Arabidopsis thaliana: one gene and its partners. The protein of the gene in region 1 interacts with the protein of each later gene in a pairwise test. Each region holds a gene or a part of one and is shown in the gene's direction. Other genes may lie near its edges. The genes, in order: HB32, IAA15 and EXO70H1.

Region 1 (3,439 bases):
CTTTCCTCAGACGACTCCATCGCCGTCCTTACGAGTTCATCGAGATGAATCACATCCGCTTCAGGAATCCTTACGAAATTAGGAATCTCTTGAGCATTAGAAACTCCCAAGTCTTTACAAAACTCAAAATACTTTTTTAGCTCTCCTCCTTGCTTCATGGATTTAGCAACAATCTTCAACGCCAAGTCTGCCTCTGTTTTACCTATCTTGGAGTGCACGTTAGGTAAAACTTCAGCAATACGACGACAAATCCAACCGTAAATCTCCATAATCTCACTAACCACATTCTCCATAGCTTCATTAATCACAGGTATCATCATGTTTTCACCAATCGGTTTGATTCTAATCAAAGAATCAACAATAATCTGCATCTTACGAATAATCACAAGTCGAATCAGAACCGATGATTCTTCGTTGTATCGATGACGATTCCCATCGTGAAACAGAATCGATCTTCGATCAAGAAACGCGAAATAAGCACGTACGAAGAGATTAAACCCACCGGATTTGCTCATAATCCGTGAATTACCTTCGCCGAAACTCGAAAGATCGAAAGGTAACCGTCCGATCGATTCTGCTACGGTTGATTTACAGAGGAAGAAGCCGTGCATTAGCATTAAGCCTTTTAAAGCAACCGCCCAGCTTCGCGTGCGTTTCACGCGAGACGAGATTAAGCTTACGAGAGGCTTGAGGCTTGACGGGCTAGAGAGAACGTGACGGTAGATGAATTGAGCGCTCTCTGTATCAATGGAGAGCTCGTCGTGGCTTGTAGCTTTCACAACGGCTGCTGTGAGAATGTCATCAGCCGCGATGAGACTAGGTCCGTCTTTGAGAACTACGGCGGCGCGTTTCCAAAGCTTCATCTTCCGACTAATGTGTGTGGTTTCAAATTGTTAGTTTCTATTTCGCGCTTTATAATTTTCATTTTAAACCGTGTTTTGTTTTCTTTGATGTCAATTCTTTGCTGGTTTAAAACGAATTAGATAAGGATAAGCTAAAATTAAGAAATCTCAGTTTTGACCAAAATAAAAAAAGATATTTTTGATGTCGTTACTAAATTATTATCTTCCATTTTTCAGTTTAACTCGATTGATTACGTAATAAGTTCATTAGATAAGTGTTGTTTGGTTGGCTTTTCTATATGTTTCGTTGATTTTGTTTTGAGGCAATTTTCTAGTGTAGTAGTGTTGTAATCGTATATAATGTATGTGGTTTGAGCAAGTCAAATTATGACTTTGTTTGTACAATATGGAAATATACATATCTTAATTATTAATGGTGTGATTGATATCGTTAAGCCGTAAAATAATCGTTTAGCTTGCTAAATTACACACAAAACATAAAGTAGGCAAATGAACATATACGATAGTGAATAGTCAACTCGTGGGTCACACAATTGCTTTTTTGCTAAACCTCTTAAAAGAAAGCGTTTCAGACTTCTTTTTGCAATAAAATCAGATTCTTTGAAAACTTTTGATCTTTGCTTCTTAATTATAGTTTCATTTTAGTTACAATATATTATTGATATTTCTCAATTTTACAAAATTAGTTTCTTAAATCTTACTTTTATAAATCAAAATACTTCTACTTATTTAGAAACATGTGACCTCTATACAATCCAAACTTATTAAATTTGTTTATACCTATATTAAAAACTTATTACTAATATATTAGTACTAGTTTACTAGTACTAATTAGCCGCTATAGTTTTACAAAAAGTGGTTTAGTTTTCTTATTCCTCATTATTGCTACTACACTTAACCCAATGGATTGAAAGAGTTAACTATGGGTAGAGATGACAACTTTATGAGCTGAGAGGATACGAAATTATGGATGTGTAGAAAAGCAAAGCCAGTGAAACAGTTCAAAAAGTGGGTTTTTCACATTTATTATGACAACTAATAAACACGTAAGTACAAAATCTTAAAGCAAGTAAGTAACAATAATTTTTGCTCTTTTTGTAACTCCCAACTCTTTCTGACACAAAAAAACACCATATCATAACTTAAGTAACCCAAAACCAAACTCTTCCAAAACAAACCCTAAACGCAAAAATCATTACTCAAAAAAAAACAAAGTCTCTCTCTTCTAATTAGAGAGCCAAGAAGATGCAGAGTACTTGTGTCTACAGAGAATGCATGCGCAACCACGCCGCGAAGCTCGGCTCTTACGCCATCGATGGCTGCCGTGAATACTCTCAACCATCCACCGGCGATCTCTGCGTCGCCTGTGGTTGCCACCGCAGCTACCACCGTCGTATAGACGTCATATCTTCTCCTCAAATCAATCACACGCGCTTCCCGTTCACGAGCTTAAGGCGCGTGAAGCAGCTGGCGAGGCTGAAATGGAAAACGGCTGAGGAAAGAAATGAGGAGGAGGAGGATGACACGGAGGAGACTTCGACGGAAGAGAAGATGACGGTGCAGAGGCGGAGGAAGTCAAAGTTCACGGCGGAGCAGAGAGAGGCGATGAAAGATTACGCGGCGAAGTTGGGATGGACGTTGAAGGATAAGAGAGCGCTTAGAGAAGAGATAAGAGTCTTCTGTGAAGGGATTGGTGTTACTCGTTATCATTTTAAAACTTGGGTTAACAATAATAAAAAGTTTTATCACTAACTAATTAACTAATATCCTTAATTGAGATAATACTATAATTTAGTTCCAATTTCATTTTCATCCCTTCTGTGTTAATTTCTCCTCCTTGATCGCTTATTTTAATGGATTATTATTTTATCATTAGTGGGTTTAATGTGTTTGATTTGGACATGTCCTTAATTACTAACTGGTTCACTCTTTAATTGGTCTTTATGATTCTTCTTTTTACGTCGGTGGGATTTGAGTTTTGACAAGACAACTAGCTGACGTTTTATTTATGGTCAATACTGTTCGCCAATCAGAATATTTATACGTAATAATATTGAAGTAGTTGAATAGTAGTACTAATTATTATGGGAAAGGATGGCAAAATGACATTTTGTTTTGATAGAAAATTGTAAAGATTACATATCTAATTCTAAAATTTGTAAATAATTAATGGTAAGATATATTTCACGTAATGAAAAGACAATTAGTTACGGAAATAACACAACATTGTGTTTTTTCGAGGTTTGTTACTAAAAATTATAATGACATCATCAAAGCCAATAAAAGCTGTTATGCTTTTTTTTGTAGAAATAGTCATTTCAAAAATAATTTTTATACTTTTTGCTTTTTTATAAAGTCGTAAAACCATATACTTAAAAGTATATACCAATAAAATTGTGAACTAATTGATTCATAAAATTGTAACTTTGCTACCATTATACCAAGCATCCCATTCCCACGAAAGTTTCAACTTTAATTGGGCTTTTGTTGGCATTTCAAGGCCAATAAGAACACCTTTGAGAAAACTAAAAAACATAGCTCTAGTCTACAATTATTCTAGTGTTTACCTACTGATT
Region 2 (3,675 bases), about 25 Mb from region 1:
ATAGAGATATGACACTCTAATTATCTGGAACATAACGGAATAAGATCTTAATCAAATTCTGGATTCCGTTATGTAGATTTTTATGGAATGACAACAAAAGAAAGAAAAAATAACTGGGCTTATTTTGGGCTTGATACCATAATGGCATTATGATGTATCAAATCTGCCATGATGTATTCTTGACCCACTGTAGGAAACCTGGATTGGTTTGGGCTTAATTGGATAAACAATCTGTATAGAATTTACTGGTTTCGTAATTCTCTAAGTCTCGGACCGCTCTATTATGTTATCGCAATTTATTATACCCAAGTAAATGTCCAAGACATCAATATCAGTTTTCTAGAGCCTAAAAGCAGTTTCGATTATTTGAGACAAAAAGTATCAATTAACATTAAATACTAGCTACCAAATTTATGTACTTCTTATTATTATCTCACATATTTTGTTACGAGTCGAGTTAAATGAATTATACGACTGTTTCATTCCATGCGCATTATAACGAAAGAAAACAAACTTAGAAAACAATGGCTGACCGGAATTACCGGTCACGGGTTTGTAATCGAAACCGGTAAATTCGTCTATGTGTCGCCAGTAGGACCTATTAGCCCCTGGTTTAACTCTTATTGCCCTTATTGGTCTAAGAATAGTGTCGTGAACCATCGAAAAAATCATTTATGATTCTATGTTCCCCAACGAAAAACAGAGTCACGTGACTTACGCATGTGACCCTACGCTGCTGTAATTAATGTTCTGCTCTTTTCCTTTGTCTAAACTTTTTTGACATCTCATTTCATATTGCATGTAAATAATATGACTAATATGAAATTAATACCGGACACTGAAAAACTTTTCAGTAAAAACTTTATACTTGTTCACTAAAAAAGGGATAGTTATCTATCTCTAACTTTTTTTATCCCAAATCATGAAACTTTTAATCGCTTTTATACAATGATTGATGTTCATTATATATTTTATTTTAGATTTTATTTCAATTTTGAAGTAGAAGTTTCAACATTTAGTTCTGTTCACATTGTTTTTTTGGTGGGAACATTCTTTTCATTGTTTACAAGATCCACACGCATATTAGTTGGGATTTCTTCTGATATTCGGTGAAAGATTAAACTAATGAAGAAGTATTGTACCTAATTAGTGTGTAGTGTACGATGATAGATAATTAGGAATATATTGTTAGACCATGATTTGTTTTCGACCGACGACAGTGAAAGTTGATGTACATATATAATGGTGAAACTTTTTTACCAAGAAAAAGTTAGTTGGAATGATAATTTAAAGGAGTAAAGCGACAACAAAGTGTAGACAAAAGGAACACTATTGAAGATCTCTCCCGAAGAATATATTGGACTGAAGTTTTTTTTTTTTGGTCTAATGTTAAATTATTGGACTGAAGTTGACAAACACAAACAAATATATATGGGAATAAAGTTTATTATATTTTCCAACGATTATAAGCAAAGGTAACATGAATGCGATTAAAATGATATTTTCAACTCTATTTAGAAAGTAAATAATGGTATTTAGAATATATATTTTTCTCGTTTTGTGAATGCTAGTGGATAATATAATCAAATTATATATTTTTCTCCTTAATCGAACCCATCAGTCGTGACGTGGGAGCTTAAAGATCAGGGCTGATTTCTTCTTCTTCTTTCTTCTTTTTTAGTTGACAGTGATTTCTTCTTCTTCTTCTTCTTTTGATACCAGGCTAATAGAAATTAAAACTGAAAAGATATCCGTACACATGCAATTACATCCACTAATGACAGTTTAGAAGATGCTAAGTGGCTATAACTATAAATGAGCCCACACCACACGAAGTAGAAGCTAATCACCAAACTGTTCACTTGCTTTCGTGGAGATATAAAAACCGCCAGTTACAGGAAAACGTGTCATTATAGGTAGGGTTCACTAGTTTTTTAGCTGACAAGTATAGATCGACTATAAATACAAAGTTGGAAACCTCGAGAGTCTCACACACTCAAGCCAAAAGTTAGTGCCACATTGTCTCATCACTTTCCGCACTTTTGTTGTTAACTAACTTTCATAAATAGATTAAGATATTAATGTCACCGGAGGAATACGTTAGGGTTTGGCCGGATTCCGGTGATCTTGGAGGAACTGAGCTGACCCTAGCTTTGCCTGGCACTCCGACAAATGCATCGGAAGGTCCAAAAAAGTTCGGGAACAAACGTAGATTCCTCGAGACCGTTGATTTAAAACTCGGGGAAGCACACGAGAACAATTATATCTCAAGCATGGTCACTAAGTACGGCATATATATATTATATTAATTTCATTTATCGTTCATATAGGTCATATGCATGTTTGATTGATCTTCTTAATTTATTGTGGTTTTAGTGACCAGTTGGTGGGCTGGCCGCCGGTAGCGACAGCGAGGAAAACAGTGAGGCGGAAATACGTGAAAGTGGCGTTGGATGGTGCGGCCTATCTCAGAAAGGTTGATCTTGGGATGTACGATTGCTATGGACAGCTTTTCACCGCTCTAGAAAACATGTTTCAGGGGATAATAACAATATGTAAGTGATCGAGATAAGTAGGAAAAAATAAAGATTTTGATGTGTTTGGATGGACTGACGAAGTGAAGGATATTATGGTAAATTTACTTACACTTGGGGTTTTGGATGGTGGTAGGTAGAGTGACAGAGTTGGAGAGGAAGGGAGAGTTTGTTGCTACTTACGAGGATAAGGACGGTGACTTGATGTTAGTCGGAGATGTGCCGTGGATGTGAGTTCTCGGAATTACCCTTTGTGTTGCTTTTACGTACTTTTCCTTTTTTATTCAAAACTAGAATTTCTGTACTATTTTGTTACTTACATTCATATCAAAACTAGAATTACTGTATTATTCTGCTGTGAAGGAAACTAAATTTTCTTGGGATTGATGATATTTAATTTGTGTAGGATGTTTGTGGAATCTTGCAAACGTATGAGGTTAATGAAAACCGGAGATGCTATTGGATTATAGGTCTCTATTCTGCTTCCCACAACGTAAACGCATCGGATCTTCGAAAGGCTATATAAGATTATGATCACAAATGCATTAAATACTGTAGAGATGTATACAATTGCATTTTTGAATTGCAATATGCTATATATGTAATTTCAAACCTTTTTTGGCCGTGGATTTTGTATGTAATGTACTACTATTGTTTAAATGATTTTACTTTTTTTTTTTTTAATTCAATAATTACAAACCACTTTTAAGCATCAGTGCCGACCACCACGATCCGGGCATGACGACATCGACACTCGACAAGACGGGATGCTCAAAGTTTTAATATGTTTTTTTTAAAAAAATTACACGTTTCATTTTTATGCATTCGAATTTGTGCATTAAATGATCCTAGAGATCGTAATATAAAAGCGGATTTTTTTTTTTGTAAGAATGCTAGGTCTTGTAACATTTTTCTCTAGCACTCGTAGACCTTACTGTTATTGATTACATGCAGGAATATCAATAAACGAAGAACTAAAAATGGAATTGAATACTTGAGATTGACATTAAATTATCCTAGAGATCGTAATATAAAAGCGGATTTCTTTCTTGTAACATTTTTCTCTAGCACTCTGTATATATCTTATTGTTATTGATTACATGGCGGAAACATCTATTATCAATAAACGAAGTGCCATTTG
Region 3 (4,435 bases), on another chromosome or scaffold:
ACGATAATACACATTGTAGAAGGAAGACTAGAAGTAGAACCAGCTACATTAGAGTTTAATGTATCTATATAATAATAAGTCAAAAATACCCACTTGGATTATTATGTTCTTATCATTTTTGGGGTTATCAAAGATACTTTATAAACTTTTGACTTTTGCATTGGCATTGTCTTTACTCCGATGATCTACGCCTGAGAGTTGACCGCTTCACAGTCCAGTCTTCAAATTGTTTTCGCACTTACGATATCATTCATTTCTGATTCGTTAGGGCTCCCCCAAGCTTACAATCTTCCTTAGTAAAGTTTGGGAAAAAAACAAATAACATAAACATAATCAATCTCAATCTGAAACGAACTAAACACTACTATAGTTCATTTTCTCTCATATGTATATAACAAGATAATTGTCAAAACAAAAACTGTGAGTTGTAATCAAATGATGGCATTGATCAATAGTCATTGCTTTGTTGATTGAAGAAGATTCCACTTTTAAGGAAAAAAGACAGCTACAATAACTAAATTCTTTAAGGTTCGTTAGCAATGTAACCGAATACGTGAAGTAACACTAGCCATTGTTTAAAGAAAGAGAGTCGTCGAAACAAAACGTTGACTAGCTTATATGCTCTTATAATGATTTAGACAACTCACGTATATACGACGTTGAAGCCAAATTAGTTGAAATGTATATGTAAATGTAGTTGACTTTGGTAAGCGAATCTCCATTTTGGTCTTTTAAGAATCTGTAACGCCTGGAAATTGCCAATACCTCCGGTTCGTATATCTTTATATCATGATTTATGAGTGCGTATATTTGACTTTTTCTTGCAAAACCATACATACATAACATGCGAATGTCTTGTGTCTGTGTATATGATATCTAATGTATGGGAAAACTTGGAATATAGGTTTTATTTTCTTCTAGACAAGATCATGAAGTATAGTACGTATCTTTTATGATCATCTTTTTGGTCAGACGAAAGAATATTAGTTTTATATAATACATAATTTGTGATTTGTTTTTCTATCCTCTATAAGCACAAACATATACTATCAGATTATGACACATCAACAGTGCTAATATAACATTAGGCTGTAAAATCAACTTAAATATTTTGTAACACTTTTCTCTTAACTATTACAATAAACGTATAGCTGTTAGTTTGCAAGGACAGCGTTAACAACTTATTGTATCATAGTATTGATTCAAAACGTTAATTACTGTGATAACTATAACTTATTAACTGAAATGCAGACGTTGACAGACACACAAGAATTGAAATGTAGAAACGCGTTTATATAAGAGAACGCTAAATATATAAATTTCGGACTTTTCTAGTGAAACTCTATTAGTCTTCTTTTTTTTCTTTGGTCAAAAAACTTCCAATACGAAATTCGAACAAGAAGTATAATTAGTGATCAATAATGCGAATGATGCAATAAAAAGTCAAATGAAATGAAATTGATGAATTTAACTGTTATATAAAATTATAAGTTGACAGAATGAAATAGTCATATAATTCTAGTTCTAGACGTGGATAGCAAAAACTTTGTCGCCCATATGTATATAAAATTTGTACTCTAGTTATCTTTTAAGTATATAAGGCTTATATTATACATCGAAGTCAATGGTTCTTTGTGGTCTGGGTCTATAATCACAGGTAAGCACATCGTCATCGATTTCATTTTCAAAGTCAAGACCAATCTCGCTCTCTATATAATTGTTAAAAACCATCTTTCTAATTAAAATAGAAAGAGTAAAAGCCAAGTAACACCATTTTAAAAGGCTTCGCTTTCAATTCAGAAAGAAGAGAATAGAGAGCTTCTTCTTCTTCAATGGCGAAAATGGCGAAATTTTCTTTCTTCTCTTCGTCATCTCCTAAATATCATCCTTCTTCGCCTTCTTCATTCACTTCTTTCCCGGCTTCTCCTCTAAACCAGAACTTTACTCAGGCTATGATGGAGGAAACCGTGGAGACAGCGGACTCCGTCATCAGAAAATGGGACCCGAACACGCCTTCCTTCACCAAGATTGTCTCTCTGTTCAACCATAGCAGGAAGGAGGCTAAAGAGTTCATCAGATGTGTCCGTGATTTGCGCAGAGCGATGCACTTTCTTGTCTCTCAAGACTCTCAATCTCCAAAGCTTGCTCTAGCTCAGACCCTGATGCAGATCGCCATGGCAAGGCTCGAAAAAGAGTTCTTCCAGATATTATCTTCAAACAGAGACAAGCTTGATCCTGAATCAGTTTCCGGTCAATCCTCAATCTCCAGCAATTCTGAATTTGAAGATGTTATGGGATCTGACGACGACGATGAAAGTGACAATGAGATGAGGAAAGCTGGCGAATCGATCACTCAGGTTGAGAAAGCTTCAGCTATGGTGATGTCTGACCTTAAGGCGATAGCAGAGAGTATGATAAGTTGCGGATATGGTAAGGAGTGCGTAAAGATTTATAAGCGGGTCAGAAAATCTATTGTAGATGAAGGGCTGAGCTTGCTCGGGATTGAAATCTACAAAGGCTCCAGATTTCACAGAACGGACTGGGTCACGCTCGAGCATATGATCAAGAACTGGATAAAAGCTGCAAAGATTGGCATTGCCACGCTCTTCCGTGGAGAGAAACTTCTTTGTGATCATGTCTTTTCTGCTTCCAATTCAACAAGGGAGTCATGCTTCTACGAGATTGCAAACGAAGCAGCCACTAACCTTTTCAAGTTCCCTGAATTTGTTGCCAAGGAGAAGAAATCGCACGAGAGGATCTTCCCGCTAATGGATCTGCAGGCTGCAATCTCTGATCTCTGGCAAGACATAGAGATGATATTCCACTTTGATGCAGTAGCTGGTGTGAAATCTCAGGCGCTCACATCGCTGCAAAAACTAAAGGTCTCAATCCACAGTGCTCTCACGGATTTTGAATCAATCATTCAGAAAGATACGACGAAAGCTCTAACACCTGGAGGAGGGATTCATAAACTGACACGATCAACAATGAACTTCATCTCTTCCCTTTCTAAGTACAGCGGAGTCTTGTCGGAAATCCTAGCAGACCATCCACTCCCGAGAAACACTCGCCTGCTGGAATCCTATGTCAGAGCTCCAATTTCGGAAGATGAACAACACAATCACGCACTCTCTGTCCATTTTGCTTGGCTAATCCTGGTTTTGCTATGCAAACTAGACACCAAAGCAGAGCATTACAAGGATGTTTCTTTGTCTTACCTTTTCCTTGCAAACAACCTTCAGATCATCATTGAAACGGTTGGTTCAACTCCCCTAAGGAATCTCCTTGGAGATGATTGGCTCAATAAGCACGAAGATAAACTCTGCGCTTATGCTGGGAATTATGAGATAGCAGCATGGTCCAATGTTTTCATGTCTTTACCAGAAGAACCCACAGACCTATCACCAGAGGAAGCTAAAATATATTTCAGAAGATTTCACACGGCATTTGAGGAAGCATATATGAAACAATCATCACGAGTTGTACCAAATGCGAAACTTAGGGACGAACTAAAGGTTTCAATAGCAAAGAAACTTGTACCAGAATACAGAGAGTTTTACAGGAAGTACTTACCAATGCTCGGCCAGGAGAGAAACATTGAGATCTTGGTGAGATTCAAGCCAGATAATTTGGAGAATTACATCTCTGATCTTTTCCACGGTACACCAATTCATGCATCCTCTTCTTTTTCTTCATCTTCTTCCTCTTCATCCTGGAAATCACTTGGGTGTGTTTCAGGCTGAGAGACTTGATCCATAGTTTTGGCTAAATATTCCATTTTTTACATGATGTGAAGTGAAAAAAATGTAGATACGTGTGTTTGCATTGTGTGTGCAACAGAAAATGAGAACAAAAAAAAAAAAATGAGATTTTCTTTACATAATTTATGACGAGTTCTTCATTATCTAAGAAAAAACAAACTTGCGATACGCTTTAAGAATAAAACGAGTAGTCTCTAATAACCGAAGCTGATATAAATCTGATAAAGAATTCGATTCAGTGATATACATTCAAGAAGCCAATTACAAATCACAAAGAAGAAAAAGGCATAAAAAATCACACACAGCATACTGTAAACATAATGTGCTGAAGAACAAAAGCATTATTCACTCCTTCAATAACTAGAAAAAGAAGGAAATATGATATGCAAGAAAACATTTGAATCGCAACTATTACTTAGGAACTCCATGATCAGAAGGACGGGACAAAGATTGCCAACCGGTACAAATTTGCATGATTTGCTTGAGAGTTTCTGATGGTGGCTCCACAGTCCATGTTGGGTAGTGTTCACTTGGATGGAATACACATTCTTCACTGGCTCCTGTCATCAAGGAAGGTTGAGCTCCATTCAAGAACAAGTCATTTTCAGATCGTACTAACCCAGTTCTCGCTTCTTCCTTGTCAGCAGCCTACAAACAAACTCACACAAGATGAT

What was found.
Region 2: the proteins of HB32 (region 1) and IAA15 interact in a two-hybrid assay, tested with the Arabidopsis thaliana proteins (one large-scale study listed by BioGRID).
Region 3: the proteins of HB32 (region 1) and EXO70H1 interact in a two-hybrid assay, tested with the Arabidopsis thaliana proteins (one large-scale study listed by BioGRID).

Annotation. Positions count from the first base shown.
Region 1 is NC_003070.9:5,045,938-5,049,376, forward strand, and holds HB32 (homeobox protein 32), read left to right. Parts: upstream 1-1,844; 5' UTR 1,845-2,108; coding exon 2,109-2,615; 3' UTR 2,616-2,816; downstream 2,817-3,439. Other genes in the region: AT1G14686 (ENTH/ANTH/VHS superfamily protein), read right to left, coding at 1-863. UniProt on the Arabidopsis thaliana protein: Putative transcription factor.
Region 2 is NC_003070.9:30,221,109-30,224,783, reverse strand, and holds IAA15 (indole-3-acetic acid inducible 15), read left to right. Parts: upstream 1-2,014; 5' UTR 2,015-2,081; coding exon 2,082-2,284; intron 2,285-2,376; coding exon 2,377-2,563; 3' UTR 2,564-2,764; intron 2,765-2,940; 3' UTR 2,941-3,155; downstream 3,156-3,675.
Region 3 is NC_003074.8:20,439,963-20,444,397, reverse strand, and holds EXO70H1 (exocyst subunit exo70 family protein H1), read left to right. Parts: upstream 1-1,747; 5' UTR 1,748-1,832; coding exon 1,833-3,743; 3' UTR 3,744-3,907; downstream 3,908-4,435. Other genes in the region: AT3G55140 (Pectin lyase-like superfamily protein), read right to left, coding at 4,173-4,409.